Rattus norvegicus: one gene and its partners. The protein of the gene in region 5 binds, or shares a complex with, the protein of the main gene of each other region. Links are inferred from orthologs where the notes say so. Each region holds a gene or a part of one and is shown on either strand. Other genes may lie near its edges.

Evidence for each region.
Region 1: Taf10 (region 5) and Taf4 share a complex: the UniProt entries of both Homo sapiens proteins name them as parts of the TFIID basal transcription factor complex. The link is inferred for Rattus norvegicus from reciprocal best matches to the Homo sapiens genes TAF10 and TAF4.
Region 2: Taf10 (region 5) and Taf5 share a complex: the UniProt entries of both Homo sapiens proteins name them as parts of the TFIID basal transcription factor complex. The link is inferred for Rattus norvegicus from reciprocal best matches to the Homo sapiens genes TAF10 and TAF5.
Region 3: Taf10 (region 5) and Taf11l1 share a complex: the UniProt entries of both Homo sapiens proteins name them as parts of the TFIID basal transcription factor complex. The link is inferred for Rattus norvegicus from reciprocal best matches to the Homo sapiens genes TAF10 and TAF11.
Region 4: Taf10 (region 5) and Taf13 share a complex: the UniProt entries of both Homo sapiens proteins name them as parts of the TFIID basal transcription factor complex. The link is inferred for Rattus norvegicus from reciprocal best matches to the Homo sapiens genes TAF10 and TAF13.

Annotation. Positions count from the first base shown.
Region 1 is NC_086021.1:187,401,986-187,405,695, forward strand, and holds part of Taf4 (transcription initiation factor TFIID subunit 4), read right to left. Parts: coding exon 3,682-3,710; intron 2,835-3,681; coding exon 2,778-2,834; intron 2,234-2,777; coding exon 2,114-2,233; intron 1-2,113. UniProt on the Homo sapiens protein: The TFIID basal transcription factor complex plays a major role in the initiation of RNA polymerase II (Pol II)-dependent transcription.
Region 2 is NC_086019.1:255,912,582-255,915,784, reverse strand, and holds the end of Taf5 (transcription initiation factor TFIID subunit 5), read right to left. Parts: intron 2,186-3,203; coding exon 2,008-2,185; intron 1,849-2,007; coding exon 1,671-1,848; intron 1,565-1,670; coding exon 1,347-1,564; 3' UTR 526-1,346; downstream 1-525. UniProt on the Homo sapiens protein: The TFIID basal transcription factor complex plays a major role in the initiation of RNA polymerase II (Pol II)-dependent transcription.
Region 3 is NC_086028.1:74,278,213-74,282,587, forward strand, and holds Taf11l1 (transcription initiation factor TFIID subunit 11-like), read right to left. Parts: upstream 2,847-4,375; 5' UTR 1,422-2,846; coding exon 798-1,421; 3' UTR 349-797; downstream 1-348. UniProt on the Homo sapiens protein: The TFIID basal transcription factor complex plays a major role in the initiation of RNA polymerase II (Pol II)-dependent transcription.
Region 4 is NC_086020.1:198,891,945-198,896,252, reverse strand, and holds the start of Taf13 (transcription initiation factor TFIID subunit 13), read right to left. Parts: upstream 2,922-4,308; 5' UTR 2,879-2,921; coding exon 2,852-2,878; intron 1,710-2,851; coding exon 1,631-1,709; intron 1-1,630. UniProt on the Homo sapiens protein: The TFIID basal transcription factor complex plays a major role in the initiation of RNA polymerase II (Pol II)-dependent transcription.
Region 5 is NC_086019.1:169,506,382-169,509,857, forward strand, and holds Taf10 (transcription initiation factor TFIID subunit 10), read right to left. Parts: upstream 1,828-3,476; 5' UTR 1,813-1,827; coding exon 1,581-1,812; intron 1,476-1,580; coding exon 1,321-1,475; intron 1,157-1,320; coding exon 1,092-1,156; intron 1,009-1,091; coding exon 894-1,008; coding exon of another isoform or gene 888-893; exon of another isoform or gene 885-887; intron 729-884; coding exon 639-728; 3' UTR 559-638; downstream 1-558. Other genes in the region: Ilk (integrin-linked protein kinase), read left to right, coding at 1-3, 178-327. UniProt on the Homo sapiens protein: The TFIID basal transcription factor complex plays a major role in the initiation of RNA polymerase II (Pol II)-dependent transcription.

The DNA of each region.
Region 1 (3,710 bases), on a different chromosome or scaffold from region 5:
TGGACTGTGGTGCACACTACAGAACCTGGCTTTTTGTGCCTCAGCTGATAAGTTACAAGGGCTTACACCTTACAATAATTCAGCAAGCTACAAAAACACGCAGCAGAAAAAGTTCATTGGTATCTTCTAACTCCCCTGGTGTCCTTTTCAAAGTGTGAAGTTGCTACCCAAGGTTTTACTCACTTCTTGGCCTCACTTCTGTGTGAGTTTTGGAGGCCTGTATACTTGAACAGTAGACCCAGTTGCTGCAGCTTTTCAGAGAACACATCTACATAAAGATTCTGGCTGAGATTTTCTTCCTATGCCACACTCAGACGTTTTACCTACCCCTGAACTGAGAGGGATGTCCCTGTACCTCTAGGGTATAGTCTCCACACCCAAAGACTGCTGCACAGGGAGTCACTGCTGGCTCCAGGGCTGGAGATGGGTCAGCAGTCCTTGGCAGGGACAGCACTGACCTGCTGAAGCCACTACCCTAAGCTGACCCAATCTGCTTGCTTCACAGCAGGACAGAACTGCCCAAGCAAAACAGACAGCAGTTTCTATGGGGATAAAGGCAAAATAGACTGAGGCCTGGTGGCAACACGAGAGTTCAACCAAGGTTTTAGCTAAGTTTCGCCAGGATGAAGGGTCATTCTCCATTAAGACTCATGTAAAAAATAGCCAAACACAAACACACAGACAGGGGTGCTGTGTTATACTAGACTAGAAAAAAAAATGCCCCACGTCTGCACAGAGCCATAGGAACAGAATAAACTGAAACAAGTCCAGCCCACATTCTTCAGAGTGTGGAAAACCACCCAGGGGCCTCATCACATCTGATCAAAGATGCCCAGCATTCAGTGATAGGCACTAGACATGCACTGAAACAGGGAAAGGAGAACAGTGAGGGGAAACCGAGGCTGGAAGCTTCAATATATATGTTCAACAACATAGGAGAGTTATAGCCATCATAAAGTGGCAGACAGGGGAAGTCTGCTACTCACTAGAGGGATGCTTGCAAATCCATAGCCTATAGATAGAACATTCCTCATGCTGTGGTGACCCCAGCCATAAAATTATTTCAGTGTGACTTCATAACTGTACCTTTGCTACTGCTATGAATCCTAATGTAAACAGCTGACATGCAGGGTATCTGATATGCAACCCCACAGGGGTCTTGACCACAGGTGGAGACCCACTGCTCTAGGCACGCTCAACTAAAATCAACGTTTTGTAAATGGGAACTGCACTGGAGCTCAACAGCCAACAGGAGCTGGCACAACTCCAATCTGGCCGAGGAACAGGACCCAGTCTGAAGGGCACAGAGGAAATCGGTGATGCAATGAACACGAGCAGTACCACAGTCCAGTGCATGTGTGACTGGGACCACAGCACGGTCCAGTGCATGTGTGACTGGGGACCAAGAGGAAGAGAAATGGGAACAGAGCACACCTGAAGAAAACAATGGCCAATGTGGTGCAAATGTACACTGAGGCAGTCTCACATGTGAGTCTAAGCAGCTCAGGAAATGGAAGAAACAAGTTGACCGCCCAGAGACTGACCCTAAGACACGGAAAATCTCTTAAAGAAAGGCCCCAACGGTCAGCAGTCAGACCAGATTACCACACAGAGGCAAGGACAGGAAAAGTGACAACACGCACCTGCACCCTAGAACTCTATAACCAGTGCAGAGTGCACATGCGAGTGACACATGGACCCAGCATCCTCAGCAGCAGCAGTGACGACCACTGAGTGGACACGCAGGTCTGCCACTGCTCTTCTAAATGCAAACGACAATGGTTTAAAGCATAAAGCATTAGGGCAGCACATAAGACACTCAGACTTTGGGCCCAGTGAACAGGTGAGAACTTCTCTCAGTTACACACCCTACAGATGGCCTCACACTGTCTCCACCAGAGCCAATCCTGAATTCCACCCCATGCGTTTCCGTCAGGTTGAACCACGCAGAGCCGACCATGTGTTTTAGCTCATGTTATATGCACAAAAAGGCTACTTGAAAATCAAGTGTCCAACCAAGACCACACCTTTACGGAAGGCCAGGAACTCCCCTGCCTACTGAAGGAAGGCACTCCCCACACCCTCCAGACCTCGGCCTCGTGTTCTGCTATACCTCTGCTCCCGATCCTGGCCCAGCGCAGTCCACCTTCCTCTTCTTCCTGGGCCCGATGGCTGCCAGTGCAGTGAGGTTGGCATCTCGCTGTCGCATCTGTGCCAGCTCCTGCTGCTGCATCTTCATTGGGAAGGAAACAAAACTCATTGCTTCGAGAGTCTTACTGCAAATGTAGCAACAGCTACCAAGAATTTTCTCAAGTTTCCTAAGTCATAACTTCTTTAGAGTTGAGGCTTTTAAAACTAAGGACATGTCTGTAACCAAAAATATTTACAAGACTTTTTAAACAGAAGCTTACCTTAAAATGCTCAGACAATTAGAAGGGGTTTAGGGAGCCTAATCTCACAGAGAGGGACAGGTACTCTCCAGCCAAATGCAGACAGCACAGAAAGAGCCTGGGCTGATGGGTCCCCCAAGAGGACAAAGGAGCAATGGATGCCCACACTGGCAAACGCCAGGTTTCTTTTTTTTTTTTTTTTTTTTTGGTTCTTTTTTTTTCGGAGCTGGGGACCGAACCCAGGGCCTTGCGCTTCCTAGGTAAGCGCTCTATCACTGAGCTAAATCCCCAGCCCCAAACGCCAGGTTTCTAAGTATTGTCTTTTATGTGGGCACCAAGCATGACCACGAACTGCAAGTGCAGTAGAGGCCAAACAGAGAAACTCACCTCCTTTGCTTTCTGCTTCAACCTTAATTGCTCTGGGTCTTCTTGTCTGGATCGAGACTATTTTTGAAAGAAGGAAAAAACAAGAGTCATGCCTTCCATGAACATTACTGAACCCACAGTACCCTGTCCATCTACAGCAGCATTTAGCCAGATGACAGAGTTCCTGCAAATTCTATACATGTTTACATCCAAATGACAAAAATTTAGGTAATAATGGGCCATGAAAAAAATGTCTTTGATACCATCCAGACGCAGTGAGAGAGTCTTAGACATATGGCTACCAGTTTGTCATATGCCTCTGACTCAATGTAGACTGGGAAAGAGCTGGGACAGAGCTCCCAGTCGTGTTGGGCTCAGCAGCTAGTGAGGCTGGCATTCAGCTACCACTCCTCCTACTGCACAAAAAGCTGACACTGGAATTAACATTTCTGGATGACTCTAATCATAAAGTTCCTATACTTAGCTCTGAATGCTCTAGACTGAAAGGCTATATGAACCCACAGGGAAGGGAAGAGGTCAGAATTCTAAGATTTAAGCCCATACCATAGTGTTACACACCTTTAATCCCAACACTCAGAAGGCAGAGGCAGGAAGATCTCTGTAAGTTCAAGGCCAGCCTGGTCTACAGTGAGTTCCAGGACAGCCAGAGCTACATAATGAGTCCTTATTTCAAAAATAAAGCAAAACATTTTTAAAATTAATTAATTAACTAACAAAATGAGAGCTACATCTCTTCTACCAATCTCTAACTGGAGCCAGGCTTCTGCCTCACCTATCCAGCTTCACTCACAACACCCTTCTTTCCACACTTGCCAGAAATGGCGGTGAGCACAAGCCAGTGCCTGGTGAGCAGCTAGGAGGGGGCAGCAAGCTGAGCCTGAGCTGCAGATGGGGTTTAACTTGCCTTTGCTGCCCGCATCAAGATCTCCCTCT
Region 2 (3,203 bases), about 86 Mb from region 5:
CACCCATGTTGGTTCACACTCATTCTAGGGGATCTGACAACCCTTTTCTGATGTCATTAGGCACCAAGCGCACAAGTAGCACATACACACGTGCAGGCAGAACACATAAAATTAACAAACATTTAAGTGTTACTCTGTATACTCAATTTTTTTCCAGTAGTAATTTTTTTCCAGTAGTTTGCTTTTAAAGCTATACTGAATTGTTGGCAGTTTCAACAACTACTTAAAACTGTTAAAACTGGAACATCAAACTACCAGCCTGAGGGAGATGCGTATGCACATACAAACACACACATATATTATATATGCCCTACTTACGAACCTTAGTGAATGTACACTTTACTTCAGAGACTTGTGGTAATTACTGATTGTTGAAAAATAGAGTACAACGTTGTGTGTCAAACTGTTTTTGCTTTGTTTATAGGATTTTGAAATGTCTGGCCTTATCTGTTAAGTCCCACGCCTGAAGAAGCTGATGTGAACTCATCATGTAATACTCAATTTGTACAATAAATTATGAACCTGGAAAAGCTGGTTGTCTTTATTTACAAGATATCAAAAATATAAAACTGTACAAAATGCAACAAAGGCAAAAACTGGCAGTGACTTGGTCTAAATCTCTTAGTTTTCCAAAGCAAGGCTCAGTACTGGAGGTAAGCAACTGAAATGTCTGTCTGACTTCAAGTGTACTAGGTCATATGTAGCCACGTTAGCTGAAGTAGAATGGAATCTAAACCTCTTCACCTGTTTTCTAAGTGTTTGATTGCACTCCAAACTTACACAGTAGGAGCTGAGATGTTGTGGGTGGTTATACATCTAGGTCTTAGGAAATGTGATCTCCTACCCAGTTACATACAGCCCGCTAATCACGGGCGAAGAAAAGCATGTTAGTGGTCATTTAACACACTGCTTGAGTGCCGTACAATAACGTCATTTACAGCAGACACACACATGCTCATAGAACTCTTCAGCTACTCAAGATGGTACTATATTTCTTAACTTGAATCTTGAAGCAGAATGAATTGTTTAAATCAAATTGATTTTTTTTCTAGACATAATAAATTAAAATAGCATTTGAACAAAAAAATGCATAGTTTCCACACAATCCAAAGCACCATAATGTCCTCTCCACGAACATAATACCTCTTATTCAACTAACGGAAATTAGTTAAATGTGGTTGCTATAGAAACGTGGAACTGTCCTGTTCAGATTTTCCAAGCAGCATACTTCCAGATCCATGTAGACAAAAACATTCTTTGTAGCTTAAATACTAATCACTGAGGTATTTGCTTTTAGTCTCCCTTTTCCAAACAGTAGCTTCCAAAAGGTCTCTAATACCGTTGGTTTATTGCGGACTGTAAGCTCCTGCAGCTAGAACCAAGTTTCTTCTTGTAAAATGTAGGTGTACGACTGGTGTTGATTTGGTCATGTATGTACCCAACAGTAACTCCTGGGAATTCTCAGGTAGATTTATATGCCCAGTGGCTGTAGTAAAGTCATCAGTTTCTAAATCTTCAAATGCTTTGATGGCATCCCATAACCGAACTGTGTTATCCATCGAACCTAAAAGAGACGCCAAAGGAAACCATTAGTGTGCAGCTGTCACATCAGGAGTCTCACGATACTTTGTGTTCACCGAGTTTTGTTTTACCCCAAAGACATTATTTACCTGATGCCAAAATCTCACCATCTCTACTAAACCTAAGTGAACACACTGTATCAGTGTGGCCTTTTAATTCTCCAACCATCAAGCCATGTCCGATATCCCAAAGAAGTACTCTGCCATCTGTTGCTCCTGTAGCCAGGAATCTCCCATTGGGAGAAAATGTCAAGGAATGAATTGGTCCCTAAAAAAAAGAACAAAGGAGAATTAAGTATCTGATAAGAGCAAGGTAGAATTGTAGTTTAATAGCATGACTGTTATCTTTAAAGAGTTTATGCTACTGGTTAAATATTTCAACTTGGAAAGCATCGTTGTGTGCTGGAATAATGAGGGTGTGAAATACCTTGTGTCCAGTGAAGATCCTTACACAGTTACCATTGAGGACGTCCCAGAGCCGCACGGTTCTGTCTGCAGAGCCCGTAGCAACATAGTTGGAATTTGGATGAAATCTAGTGCAATTCACATCAGCAAGATGGCCAGCGAATATCCTTAAAGGCTGATAGTGATCTGTAGCCCAAAGCCTGAAAATAAAAATATTAATTTAAATAATAATATGTAACCCAAAATAGAGGTGTATCAGGTGAGAGTCAATTCCAAATGGTTCCTCCTTGTTATCTAATGGAAGGAAAGAGTAAGTGGGACTAATGTTTTCTTTTTTGAGATAATGTCTGGTATAGCCCAAGCTGGCTGTGAACTCACTCTCCTATTTAGTTTGAGACAGGGTCTCACTTTGTAGCTGTCCTGGAATTCACTATGTAGAATTCACTCTGACTAGCCTTGAACTCAAGAGATCCCCCTACCTCAGCCTTCCAAGTGCTAGGGCTAAAGACGTGCCAGCATGCCCAGTTCCCGAATGCTGGGATTACAGGCATATAAATTAGCTTTTTTGGTTTTATTTTGTTTGTTTTGAGACACGGTTTTTCTGTATAGTCCTAGATATCCTGGAACTTACCCTTAGACCAAGCTGGCCTCAAAATTCAAAGATCTACCTGATTCTGACTCCCAAGTACTGGGATTAAAGGTGTGCACTGATAACTGTCTGACTTAAATTTATTTTTATTTTATATGCATTGGTGTTTTGCCTACATGCATGTCTGTGTAAGGGCGCCAGATCCCAAGGAACTAGAGTTCCAGTCAGTTGTGAGCGGCCATGTATGTGCCAGGAATTGAACCTGGGTCCTCTAGAAGAACAGTCAGAACTCAACTGCTGAGCCATTTCTCCAGCCAGCATATAAACGCTTATTCTTTTATACCCACCTCCCCACTCCTAATGAACAGAAAACCATTTTCCTATAATTTGGGCAACCACATAGTTTCTAACAAAAATTACTTCAAAGGGGACTTTAGAGTAACAGGAAGCAGGGCCCTCGGTGTAGACCCTGGAGGGAGAAATATTCCCCTCTCACATTTTCAAGTTACAGCTGTGAATTATCTTCTCCAAAAGTTAATCCTGAATAGCATGAAAATACGGCTTGCTGGACTTTGTGTTCTTGACAAGATACAGTTATATCCAGTGAGTAAACCCCATTAGATCAGTGT
Region 3 (4,375 bases), on a different chromosome or scaffold from region 5:
AAGGAAAATGTCAGATGTCATTTGAAAAGGGATTATAGGCGAGGCATTCGTAGGCACAATGTTTTTCGTTGTTGTTGTTTTTCTAGAAGTAATCCAAAAGAAAGCTCAGCCTTCTGCAGTAGGCATAAGGTGTGGCAAAGCCCAGTAGTAGGCTAATGAATTCAGATTAACCCCCTAAGGGGCCTCCTACAGGGCATGTCAAATTGAATTCAACCATTCTGGGTCAGGGTCAGAGAAACTCAGCCCCAGGGCAATTAAAAGTTTTGTTTTGTATTTTTAAACAAGGAAAAAAAATCCAAGTTTTATTGGAAGGACAATAAGTTTTGTCTGCAACAAAATAAAACAAAGTTTCCCACACAGGTTGGAAAAGTTTAATAATCCCTCACAAAATACACAGGACAACCTGAAATGTTAACGGTGAGAATCGAATTATGGTGTGACTGTCTTCACAGCAGATTATTGAGAAAGTTTGTTTCGAAACAACCTGAATCTTAGCCACTTTAGGCTTCAATGTGAAACTGTAGTTGTCTTGTTTTTCTCTGAAATCATCTCCCTCTCCAGGAGATACTAACAGTCCCTGTGTATTTTTTCTTAAAAATAGCCAAGAGTCTGTGAAATTCTTCAACATGCCTGAGGACAGTCTATGACTGAGTGAAGGCAAGTCTGAGGCACACTACGTGCCTTGTAGGTGTAACAGAAACATTAAAGTCAGCATCAAGTGTCCTGGGCTCACCACCAACAAAGCCTCAGTACAGAAGCCCAACTATACGGAAAGTCTTGAACAGTCTCTGTTAGATCTAGAAGAAGGTGATTTTCTTGTGCTTTGAGCTGGGGATTTGCCCCTTGGACTTCAACCTCCGCACGGCCTCCCTCATGTGCTTGGGCTGCAGGGGTGGCATTTCTCCCCATTTCTCACACACATCCAGGGCTTCTTCTACCACCTCCCCGACAAAAACTTTAGAAATGCCAGACATGGCGATCACAACATTCTGAGACACAGAGGTGCCAGTGATGGACTGGATCAGCCTTTTAATGGCTGCCTTCGGGAAAGCTGACCGGCGATACATTTCATAACGGTTCAGCTGCTCTTCAGAAAAAGAAGAGACCAGGATTTGCATCTTCTGAATCTCATCTTCGTCCACCTTCTGCTTCTTCTCCTTCTTGTCTTTGGTTTCTAGTTTCAGCTTTTTGGCTGCAGGAGTAAGAAATGAGTCTTCCCTCTCAACTGCTGTCAAACCTGAGACATCCTGACTCTTGGTCTCCCTTTCCTCTGCCGCGGCTTCTTTCAAGTCCACGTCTCCATCCCTATCGGTTTCCTCAGGGATTCCCTCAGTGTCTGCCGCTAACGGGTTCCCAGGAGTAGCCCTCGACTCCTCTGACTCCCCGCCTTTGTCCGTGGGCGACTCTCCAAGGTTTTCCATCGCGACAGGAGGGGGTTAGAGGCGAAGGCAGCGCGGCCGGGCGAAGGAGTGAGGGTCAGCGAGTTTTGCCGCGGGACTTATATTATAGCTGAGGCTTATGGCTTGGAGCTGGTCCTTATTGCTTGTGGTCGCGCCGCGATGACGTCACGCCCACGGCTCCTGGGAGGGGTCATTTTCAGAGTCTCGATCGCTCAGGGTCTTCTTGTATACTGACTTTGTTTTAACCAGAAAGAAATGTAAAAGTATAGATCCTCCGCTTTAGGGTAGAAGCGTGTTCGAAAGGGCGTACAATTCGTTTACCGAGAGACTTCTTTTTTTCCTTCCTTCCTGGAAATGTAATGCCAATTAATCCGTTAACTTGAGCGCAAAGTCCGGAACGGGGCGAAAACTCCGTCCGGCTGCTTGTTGCTGCCTTGGACTGAGCAATTTCCGGCAGAGACTCAACCTCGTATTTTCCAAAGAACTGAGATCCGCGGCTTGGGTCCACCAGGGAACTGCTTGGGCTTCTCTTCTGTACCGCAAGCATCTCTAGTGCCAATAGAATATATCCAACGATTTCATTCAATGCTTCAACTATTGGCTACCTGCCTCCCGTCAGAACAGAGCTAGTATCCCGTTCCCACATTTCTTTTGTTTCTACAGTGCCTGGACCAATGAGGATCATTTCCAGTCCCATGAGGTTCCCAAATCTTTGGGAAGGCGAGCACTTCGGGAAGCTCCTACAAGTGTGCCCACTTCGTTCTTCCCCAGCTGTCGAATGGGCGGTTTCGCTGGGCGTGGACCGCGTCTGCGCCAGGTCTGCACTGCACACAATTAAAATATTTAATGCCTGTTGTTGACACTGCTCAGGTCTGGTGCATCAAGTCAGAAGCAGTCAGTCACAGGGATGGAAGTGTTTCTCATGATCCGGCACAAGAAGACCACCAACTTCATTGAGGCCAAGGAGTCGAGCACATGGTTCACTAAACAGGTAGCAAAGCCACAGGCCCTCAGTCACAGTGGACCTGGCTTTCAGAGCAGACGATGCCTTTGAAGGCCTGCAATATTTACACCTTTTCTAGTTCTCCACAACACGAGACGCGATGAAGAATTCTTGGGGGGTTGGGGATTTAGCTCAGTGGTAGAGCGCTTGCCTAGGAAGTGCAAGGCCCTGGGTTCGGTCCCCAGCTCCGAAAAAAAAAGAACCCCCCCCCCAAAAAAAAAAAGAATTCTTGGAACAGGGGTTGGGGATTTAGCTCAGTGGTAGAGCGCTTGCCTAGCAAGCGCAAGGCCCTGGATTCGGTCCCCAGCTCTGAAAAAAAGAAAGAAAGAAAAAAAAAAAGGAATTCTTGGAACAGTGCTAAGGAACAAGATGTGCAACGAGGGCCCCAGGCTCACTTCCTAGGGACCCATTTCCCAATAAAGATTTGGCTGACTTTTTTTAAAATTAATGTGTTTATTTTATGTATATGAATACAGTGTAGCTATCTTCAGACACACCAGAAGAGGGCATCAAATCCTATTACAGATGGCTGTGAGCCACCATGTGGTTGCTAGGAAGAACAGTCAGTGCTCTTAACCACTGAGCCATCTCTCCAGCTCTTGGCTGTCTTTTTAAATAAAAAATAAAGAACTCACATTGCTCTGATGTCATACTGCATTCTGCCTCTGCTGGAGGTGTCTAGCAGCCACCATCATGCCAGCCCTGAGCGGCATAACAAAAGCCAGAACAGGGGGTCCACAGTGAATGTTTCCCTTCTGGATGATGTCAGGCACTGCTACCCACAGAACTAGAATGGGAACAGAGGGGTCTGGGTTGAATGGTGTGGTTCCCAGTTTCCTCTCTGGATACCTAGGCACCGCTGGTGAGGAAGTCAGAGATGGGGTGTCTACATTTGGTTGCTGGGAATTGAACTCAGGACCTCTGGAAGAGCAGTCGGGGCTCTTAACCACTGAGCCATCTCTCCAGCCCGTGACCTTGAGTTTTATGGTTATATATATTATGGTTATATTTTGTCTTGATTGTTGTATTGTGTGCCTCCTTGGATTCCTGGTCTCAAGGACTTTCGGCTGGGTCCAGTCAGGACACATCTGCTCAGCATTTGCTTCATTCTTCCTGCCTCCTACCCCCAAGGATAGCTCAACGCCCATGTACAGCTTGAGGAAGTTATGGAGGAGTCGTCGCCCCAATTCCCTGGACTTTTGGGGGGCTGAAAGCAGTTATTCTAAAGTTGTTTTTATGAGGAACTTAGAAATGGTTGTAATTTAACAGGGAGGAATTAGCTAGATTGAGTTGTAGAGTCATTATCTCATTTGGTAACTAAGCTAAAATCATATCTTTGTTTTGGTATAGAATTTATTTGTCAAAAAAGTTTAAAAGTACAAGGTTTAGAGCCAGTCCTTCTAATTATGTCAATACAAACTTCTGAGTTGATTACATATGTGAGTTAAGGGCCAAATAGCACATTCATGGCTCTGACTTTGTGAGAGCACTTTCAAGATAATATTAAGATATGAAGGGGCTGGGGATTTAGCTCAGTGGTAGAGCGCTTACCTAGGAAGCGCAAGGCCCTGGGTTCGGTCCCCAGCTCCGAAAAAAAAGAACCAAAAAAAAAATATTAAGATATGAAAACAACAGTCCAGATTGTCTTATATAGATGGATGGTCTTCAAAAACGTCAGAAATCCACAAAATTTGAGACTTAAAGTTATTTATCTTTTGTTGAGACGTAGCTGCTCCTAACAGTTCCCCTTTGGCAGATTTAATGAAGAATTTGTTCAGGTAAGGCAATACTTTGTGGCTAGGCAGCCACTACACAAAGCTGCCTGTTTCATCTGCAGACTAATATTGTCCAGAAAAGGACAAATTATGCAGAATAGTTGACTGATAAGCTCTGCCAAGACAGGGTGATCGGCCCTTCAAAAATCTGCATTTCTAGAGTCTGTCAGTTGATTTTGGGCCAGAAGACTGAAGAC
Region 4 (4,308 bases), on a different chromosome or scaffold from region 5:
ACTTCTCAATGCTCAGACAAGGTCCCTGGGCACGGGGATGGAGAGGGCATTCTCAGGAATTAGTATTGGCATGACAAGAGGAAACAGCTCACCCTGCTGCTCTAAGGATTTAACTTGTCTGCCTAAGGAGTATGATGGAAGGTTAACGACACTGTTAGTACCCCAGACTTCACTTTCTTGCCCTGATCAGTGCCTTAGTCCAAAGCCTCAACTTACATCGTTTGAAAGGTGGACACAAGAGGAATATAACATCATAGTCATCCCCAGCTACGTAATAAATACAAGACCAATCTAGGGTACATGAGACCCTGCTAAACACAGAAAGGGAAAAACAACAACAAAAACAAAGCAAACAAAAAAACAGAAAGGGGGAGGGGCAGCGGTGCAATGAATGTAGCTCAGTTAGTAGCTGAGTGCTAGCCTAACACACACAACTAGGGTCAATCCTTAGCTAAACAAACTGGGAATCATGACATATGGGCCTATGTGTAGCACGAGGGATACAGACAGGAGAAGTTCAAGGTCATACTCATCTACATACCAAGGTTGAAACCATACTGGGATATAAAAACCCTGCCTCAGCTGGGTGGCTGTGGTTCACAGTGTCAATCCCAGCACTTAGGAGGCAGAGGCAGAGGTGGAGGCATATGTATCTCTCTGTGAGTTCAAAACTAGCCTGATCTGCAGAATGAGCTCTAAGACAGCCAGAGCTACACAGAAAAACCCTGTCTCAAAAACCTCAAAGAGGGCTGGAGAGATGGCTGAGTGGTTAAGAGCACTGACTGCTCTTCCAGGAATCCTGAGTTCAATTTCCAGCAACCACATGGCAGCTCACAACCATCTGTAATGAGATCTGGTGCCCTCTTCTGGTGTGTCTGAAGACAGTTACAGTGTAATTATAATCAATCAATCAATCTTAAAAAAAAACTAAAAGAGGGGTTGGGGATTTAGCTCAGTGGTAGAGCGCTTGCCTACCAAGCGCAAGGCCCTGGGTTCGGTCCCCAGCTCCGAAAAAAAAAAAAAGAAAAGGAAAAAAAAAAAACTAAAAGAAATAAAATAAAAAAAACCCACCTCAAAGTGTATGTGTGGGTGGGGGGGAATCACATTCATTATTTTACGTCACAAAGAGAGAATTAGTATACATGATAAAGAGACTTATACCAACCACAGGAGGCACACCGGCAATCCCAATACTTGAGAGGCTAAGGCAGGAGGACTACCGCCACCCAAAGCTAGCTTGGGCTAAACAGTGAGCACCAATATAGCCAAGCCTATGCAGAGCCTATCTTTAAAAAAAAAGAAAGCAAAAACAAGGGGAGCTAGAAAGATGGCTCAGCAGTTAAGAGCACTAACTGCTCTTCCAGAGGTCCTGAGTTCAATTCCCAGCAACCACATGGTGGCTCACAGCCATCTGTAATGGAATTGATGCCCTCTTCTGGTACTCATATACATAAAATAATTTTTTTTTAAAAAAAAAGCAAAAACAAACAGGAATAAAAACAACCTTACAGGCAAGTCTGAGAACACTGTCCCTCTAAGCAAACATATGCAGAGCAATGTACCTACTCTCCAAGGACATGTTTAAAAGCTCTCACCACCTGTAATAAAAGCATTGGAAAGTACAACTTACGTTCTTTAGAGAAAAGTCTCTTTCTCTTCCCCTGGCCACCTTCTGCTCCTCCTCCAATTTCTTCATTTTCCTCCTCAAACTAGAAATTTAAAAATACAGAAATGTCAAATGATGGCAGTGCACGTGATATTCTCCAGAGTCTCCTCCTGCTCTCTCTTTTGAGTGCTATGAATTGAACCTAGGAGCTCACGATTCTAAACAGTTAATTGACCACTGAGCTACACTCCAGTGCCCTTTTCATCTTTTTTTGAAAGACATTTATTATTTATATGTATTGTGTGTGCCTACATTGACTATGCCTGCAAATGCCCGTAGAGGCCAAAAAAGGGGTCTAACTGCTGTAGGTAGCCAGATGCACTAAAGCAAAATCTCTAGACTTTTTTTTTTTTTTTTTTTTTGAGACAAGGTATGTGCCCGTCTGCCTGGAACTCAGAGATCCTTTTCTGAGTGCTGGGATTCAAAGTGTGCACCACCATGCCCAGTGACCCTTTTGCATTTTCAAAAGTGGTAAGCTAAGGCAAACAGCACAAAGTCATAGAAACTTAGCATCAGAGGGCTCTTATGTCCTATTCCACTTCTCAAGTCGTGCAAGAAGTCTTTTATTACGGCTCCTAACTAACAACCCTACCCGGGGTGTGTGTGTGTGTGAAGTTCAAATGGACGTCAGGTTCTGGGTTTGGTTTTAGCCCATTTAGTTGTCATACTGCTAAGCAATGCTACTACTGTAAAAGACCTGATAGTTTAAAATCTACTCTCTGCTGCCATCAGAAGCAACATTTACTAAGCACCTGTCAATACAGGGCTAAAAACTTTCCTTAACTGGGCTTGACCCTATCTCACGACAAGAAAACCGATGCCTTAAGTTAAATAACTCCAAAGGAGAATCTGGATCTCAAACTTCCTGACTTTAGTTCATCTTTTCTCCACTATTTTCACTAGTTTTGTTAGCAGATGGGCTGCTGGTTCCGCAGTATTTGCTTTGATCTCCTATGACTCTCTAGACTCTCAGTGTCAGGAAGATCCAGATCAAAAGGAGATCCTGTCTACTTTTCCTTCCCTTCCTGCCCCACGCACTGACTAAGGTAAACCGAAGGAAGAGGAAAACACCGCGGAGACCCCGAACTCTCGGCGGGATTCCCTAAGGCTCAGGAGGGTCAGACTCTGCCTCCGCTAGTGAGCCAGAGGGAGTGAGGAAACAGGCTGTGACGGGCGCTCACTCACGGTGGGATCTTCCTCCTCATCTGCCATGCTAGCAGCCCGCCAGCCTTCTGAGCCCGCCCAAGGGCGGCTCGCAAGATTTATAAGATATGTGCGTCACTTCCGGCCTGGCCGGAGTTGCGCAGATGGGTGTGCACTCTCATTCTCCTAACCCCGGCCTTGAGATTGGCTGAAAATCAGTGACGCGTACTTAGGCGTGGAATCCTGAAGAAGGGATTAAAAATTACAAAGATGCCAGGCGTGGTGTACTATACCGAAAAAATTCCGTGCACTTGGCCGAGGCAAGAGAGCTTAGAGTTCGAGACCACTCAAGCTTCATGAGCCCATATCTCAGAAATCATAAATGATAAATTTGTGCATACTAATGGAGACTCCCAAATGCCTGTAATTCCAGCTCCAGGGGAATATGATGAATTTTTGCCTCTGGGGCTGATGCATTCAAGTACACAAGCCCACATAGATATACTTTTTAAAAATATATATATAATCTTTATGTATATGAGTGTTTTGCAGACACGCATGTGTACCATGTGTTCGCAGCGCCAAAGAGGCCAGAAGAGAGCAACTAATTCCCTGAAACTAGAGTTAGATGATTGTGAACCGCTATGTAGGGGCTGGGAATCAAACTCAAGTCTTTGGAAAAGCAGCCAATGCTCTTAGCTGCAGAGCAATCTTTCCTGCCTCCGTAATTTTGTGTGTGTGTGTGTGTGTGTGTGTGTGTGTGTGTGTGTGTGTGTGTGTGTACATTGGGTTTTATGAGGGGGGTGGGTTTGGGTTTGGTTTTTTAATTACAAAAGATGTGCGGGAGAGATGGTACAGTCAGTGAAAGCTCTCACGGAATAAGACTAATATTCAGGTTTAATCCCTGGGCCTATATAAAAAGTGAAAGGTAAGAAGACAGATTCCACAAGGCTGTCCTCTGGCTTCCATACACAGTAATAAGTAAAACATTTTAAAATTATCAAAGAGCTAAGTGTGATGGCACACGTCTTTAATCCCTGCCTGGGGAGGCAGAGGCTGGAAAATCTCTGAGTTCAAGGTCAGCAACAAACAAAACAGCAGAGACATTAAATGCATTAGAAAGCTGGCAGCACAGAAAAGGTAGAAATAGGGCATAAAGGAAAAAATAAAAAGCAAAGGACTATGGACAATGCTAGCAGGGCTATAAACTATGAAGTGTGGATAAATTCAACCCTCTTAACTCAAACTCCAAAACAGAAACCGGGAATAACAAAGCAATGTAATGAGTAGATCAGACACAGAGCAGAGGGAACAGCCTGGGGTTCTTCTACAATTTCAGAGTGGACTCCAGAGTCCAGTTTAGGGTTGGAGGAAAGATATCAAATGACAGAAAAGTATCTCATAGCCAGCCATTCCTGAGGGTGGACAGGGCTCAGAGGGCAAGGACCTAGAGAGATTAGTCTCAGGTATTACCATTGTTTAAGCCAAAACAAGGGACC
Region 5 (3,476 bases):
AAGGTGAGCACAGAACTGCAGATACTTGTGTGGGGATAGTGGTGCTGACATCACTGTGGTAAGCCCTTCCTGCAGTGTATACAGATCTATAGTAATCCTACCATTCAAGGGTCAAAGGCTTTTGCCCATATGATGAACTCAAATTCAGAAGCTCACCTTGTTCTGTATAATTTGCAGGTGGCACTGGAAGGCCTTCGGCCTACTATCCCACCAGGTATTTCCCCCCACGTGTGTAAGCTCATGAAGATTTGCATGAATGAAGACCCTGCAAAGCGACCCAAGTTTGACATGATTGTACCTATCTTGGAGAAGATGCAGGACAAGTAGGACTTGAAGGTCCCTGCCCAAACTTCAGAAGTATCAGCATATGGCTGGGGGAATGCACTTCCCCGAAGCTGAAGATCTCTGGTTGCCTCCCCTGTCTCTAATCATGGTACTACCCCAGTTATGGGGCTTGTTCCCTGCTCCCATCCCTACCACTGTAGCCCCAGAGAGGGCTGGGCTCAGAGCTTTGTCACTTGCCACTTGATGTCTCCCAACATGGGAGGGATCAGCCCCGCCTGTCACAATAAAGTTTATTATGAAAACAGGCTCATGTGGGGACAGAGGGGAAGACAAATACATCTGGGTTGGGTGGCTCAGGTGAAGTAGTGCGGCTTCTTCACATTGATGCCATACTCGCTGAGGGCAGGGGTCAAGTCCTCCATGGTTAGGGTGTACTTGCGATCCTGGGGGAAAGAGGGAAGACCACCAGCTGAGCACAGCAAGTCCAGATTCCAGTCCTTTGTGGGTAACCCTGAGTAGGCCCAATACCTCCCCTAGGATGCTGCTTCCCCAAAAGGCTTTCAGGATAAGTTAAGTCTGTACTGCTGTGGAAGGCGAACCTCTCACACCTTGCTCTTGCTCCGGGAGCTGCCAGAGGCTGTACCCTTCATTTTGCAGTGCTGTAGGGCATCATTGGCAATATCTGAGATGAATTTCTGGGCAGCTAGTGAGATGAGCCGAATTCTAGAGAGGAAGGGGGTGGTGGTAATGAGATATTTAACAAACTCCACCCAGCACTCAACAGTCTAACCTCTGAGTTTACTCACATGCGTGGGTCTGAAGCTTCAAAGCCAGCACGGTTCAGGTAGTAACCAGTCACTGCATCCGGGATCTGAAAAATCAAATAGCCGTCATTATTAGCTCTGCCTACTGATGCGCTGGGTGGGGAGGAAGAATAAAGAGACAGCTTCCTAGTAGAGGACGCTTGAAAGCATGAAGGTGCGGTTGAAAGGCACGACAGCGAGGCAGGTGGCCTTGTACAGGCGGGAAGCCCACCGTAGGTGTATAATCCTCCAACTGCATCAAGAAGTCCACTAGTGGTGTGCTGGACACTACGGGCTTCACTTCTCCGTTGGCCGCGCTCGGTAGGGCGTAAACCCCGTTAGACATTGCCCCCTCAGGGGGAGCCGCGCCGCCTGCTGCCACCGAAGCTGAAGGAGAATCAACAACACAGGTGAGAAGCGCAGGGTCCCCCCAACCCCCGCTGCGGCACCCAGTCGGAGATTCCCCCCTCCCTCACCCGGCCCGGAGCTCACCCGGTCCGCGCCGCTCCGCGGGCTCCCCTGCCCGTGCCGCCACGGGGCCCGTGCCTGCAGTGGCGACTCCAGCTCCAGGGCCCCCTGCTGTCCCCGCGGGGCTGGCTTTGCTCTCCGCGGCCGTGCTAGTGGGCAGCGCAGCGGGAGCGGACACCGGGGGCGCCGGACCCGCGACCGAGGCGGCACAGGCTGGCGCCGCCTCGGGGTCCGCGCCGGAGCCGCTGCAGCTCATGGGGCTGGTGGGAAAGGCGGCAACCAGAGCTACTTCCGCTTCCGCTCGCCCAGGCGCACGTTGCGTGACGTCACAGTTCCCGCCCCACCGCTTTAGTCCGCCGCGGGCGACCTTAGGTTGGCTGTTGGCAGATTAGGTGTAGACTGGCAGAGGTAAACTGTGAAAGACCTAGCCTCCACCCTGCGGCTCAACCCTGCCCAGATGGGACCGCGAAGAATCCAGGACTGCACACTTCATTTCATCTGGGTGCGCAGATTTGACTTGGGGACTCATATGTCAGATACTTCATTACCAGTCTCCTTAACAGTCTTCATTCTTTGTCGCTCCCTTTCACTGTCTTTAAGGATTTTAGTGGATTTGGTGTGTGTCCCTCCCACCCACAACGGTCCTAGAAGCGTGCTGCTGTAAATGTAGAGATAGGTGTTTCACCCCGAAGAAATAACATGCCAAAGTCACATGTGAAGCACATTAGCAATTCAACAGTCATTTATTTAATTTCTATTTGCCAACTACAGGGTTGGGACCTAGGAATACAAAGTTAAGAATCAGATTCTAGTTCACTAGCACCAAGCTCTGGAAAAGGAAGGCAGACAATTTTAATACTGTATGGTTGTTTCCCAGATACACGTAGGTGGAGTGCAAGGAAGTAGGGAACTAACATCAGCTGCTTAATTCCAAGTGTCAGACATTAGCAATGTTTATTTCCCAATTTTGAAGGCAGGTTTCAATGTCCCTGACTTTTACCCAGTAATCTTTGAAGGGTTTGCACAAATAAATATACTGTTTGGTTTAGAAGATGACTTACCCATGGTCAAGGATGCTGAGGGGCTTTGGAAGGCTCTCCCCTACCCAAGTACTTCCTGCAGTTTAGAGGAAAAAGGACATGGGCTCAAAGATAATGCAGTAGTGTGTGTGTGTGTGTGTGTGTGTGTGTGTGTGTGTGCGTGCGCGCGCGCGCGCGCGCGCGTGCACGCACGTTTGTGTATTTTCGAGACATGGTCTCACGTAGGCCTGGCATGCCTGGAACTCTTTGTATAGACCAGGATGGACTCAGAGAGGCTTGCCTGGTCTCTGCCTCCTAAGTGCTGGGATTAAAGGTGAGCATCACCACGCTAGCTGATAAAGACATATCTGGAGAAGTAGTCAGTAAAACTTGTTGAAGTTAGTAGGGAGGTGAAAAAAAATGAAAATTAAGAGTTACAGGTTTCTGGCTTGTTTGAAAGAGGCATTATATCACAGACTAAGAGATGAAATAGTTTAGGTCTGGGCTGGAGGGAGATGAAGTAATGAGGTATCTTACATTTGAGATGTCAGTGATCTATCAAGGGATGTTAATAAAATATGAGTAAAAACCTACGGATGGAACAATGAACACCAGCATCCCATAATTAGTTGAAAAGGAGGACAGTTAGTGTGGTCAAAGGGGGTATACACTGAGCAAAAAAGGAATGGGAAACTGACGGAAAGAACGAACACCCAGGTTCACAGAAGCTAGATGTTTGTGAATGTCTGACAGTTGAAATTAAAACCTGAATGCTGCTTTGGTGTAGCCAAGAAGGGGAAAATAAAATGTAAATTTACAAATAATTTACAAAAAAAAAAATCACTGAAGCAAAAATTTAAAGCAAAATTTGTAACACCTATTTATTTTGTTGAGGAGCTTT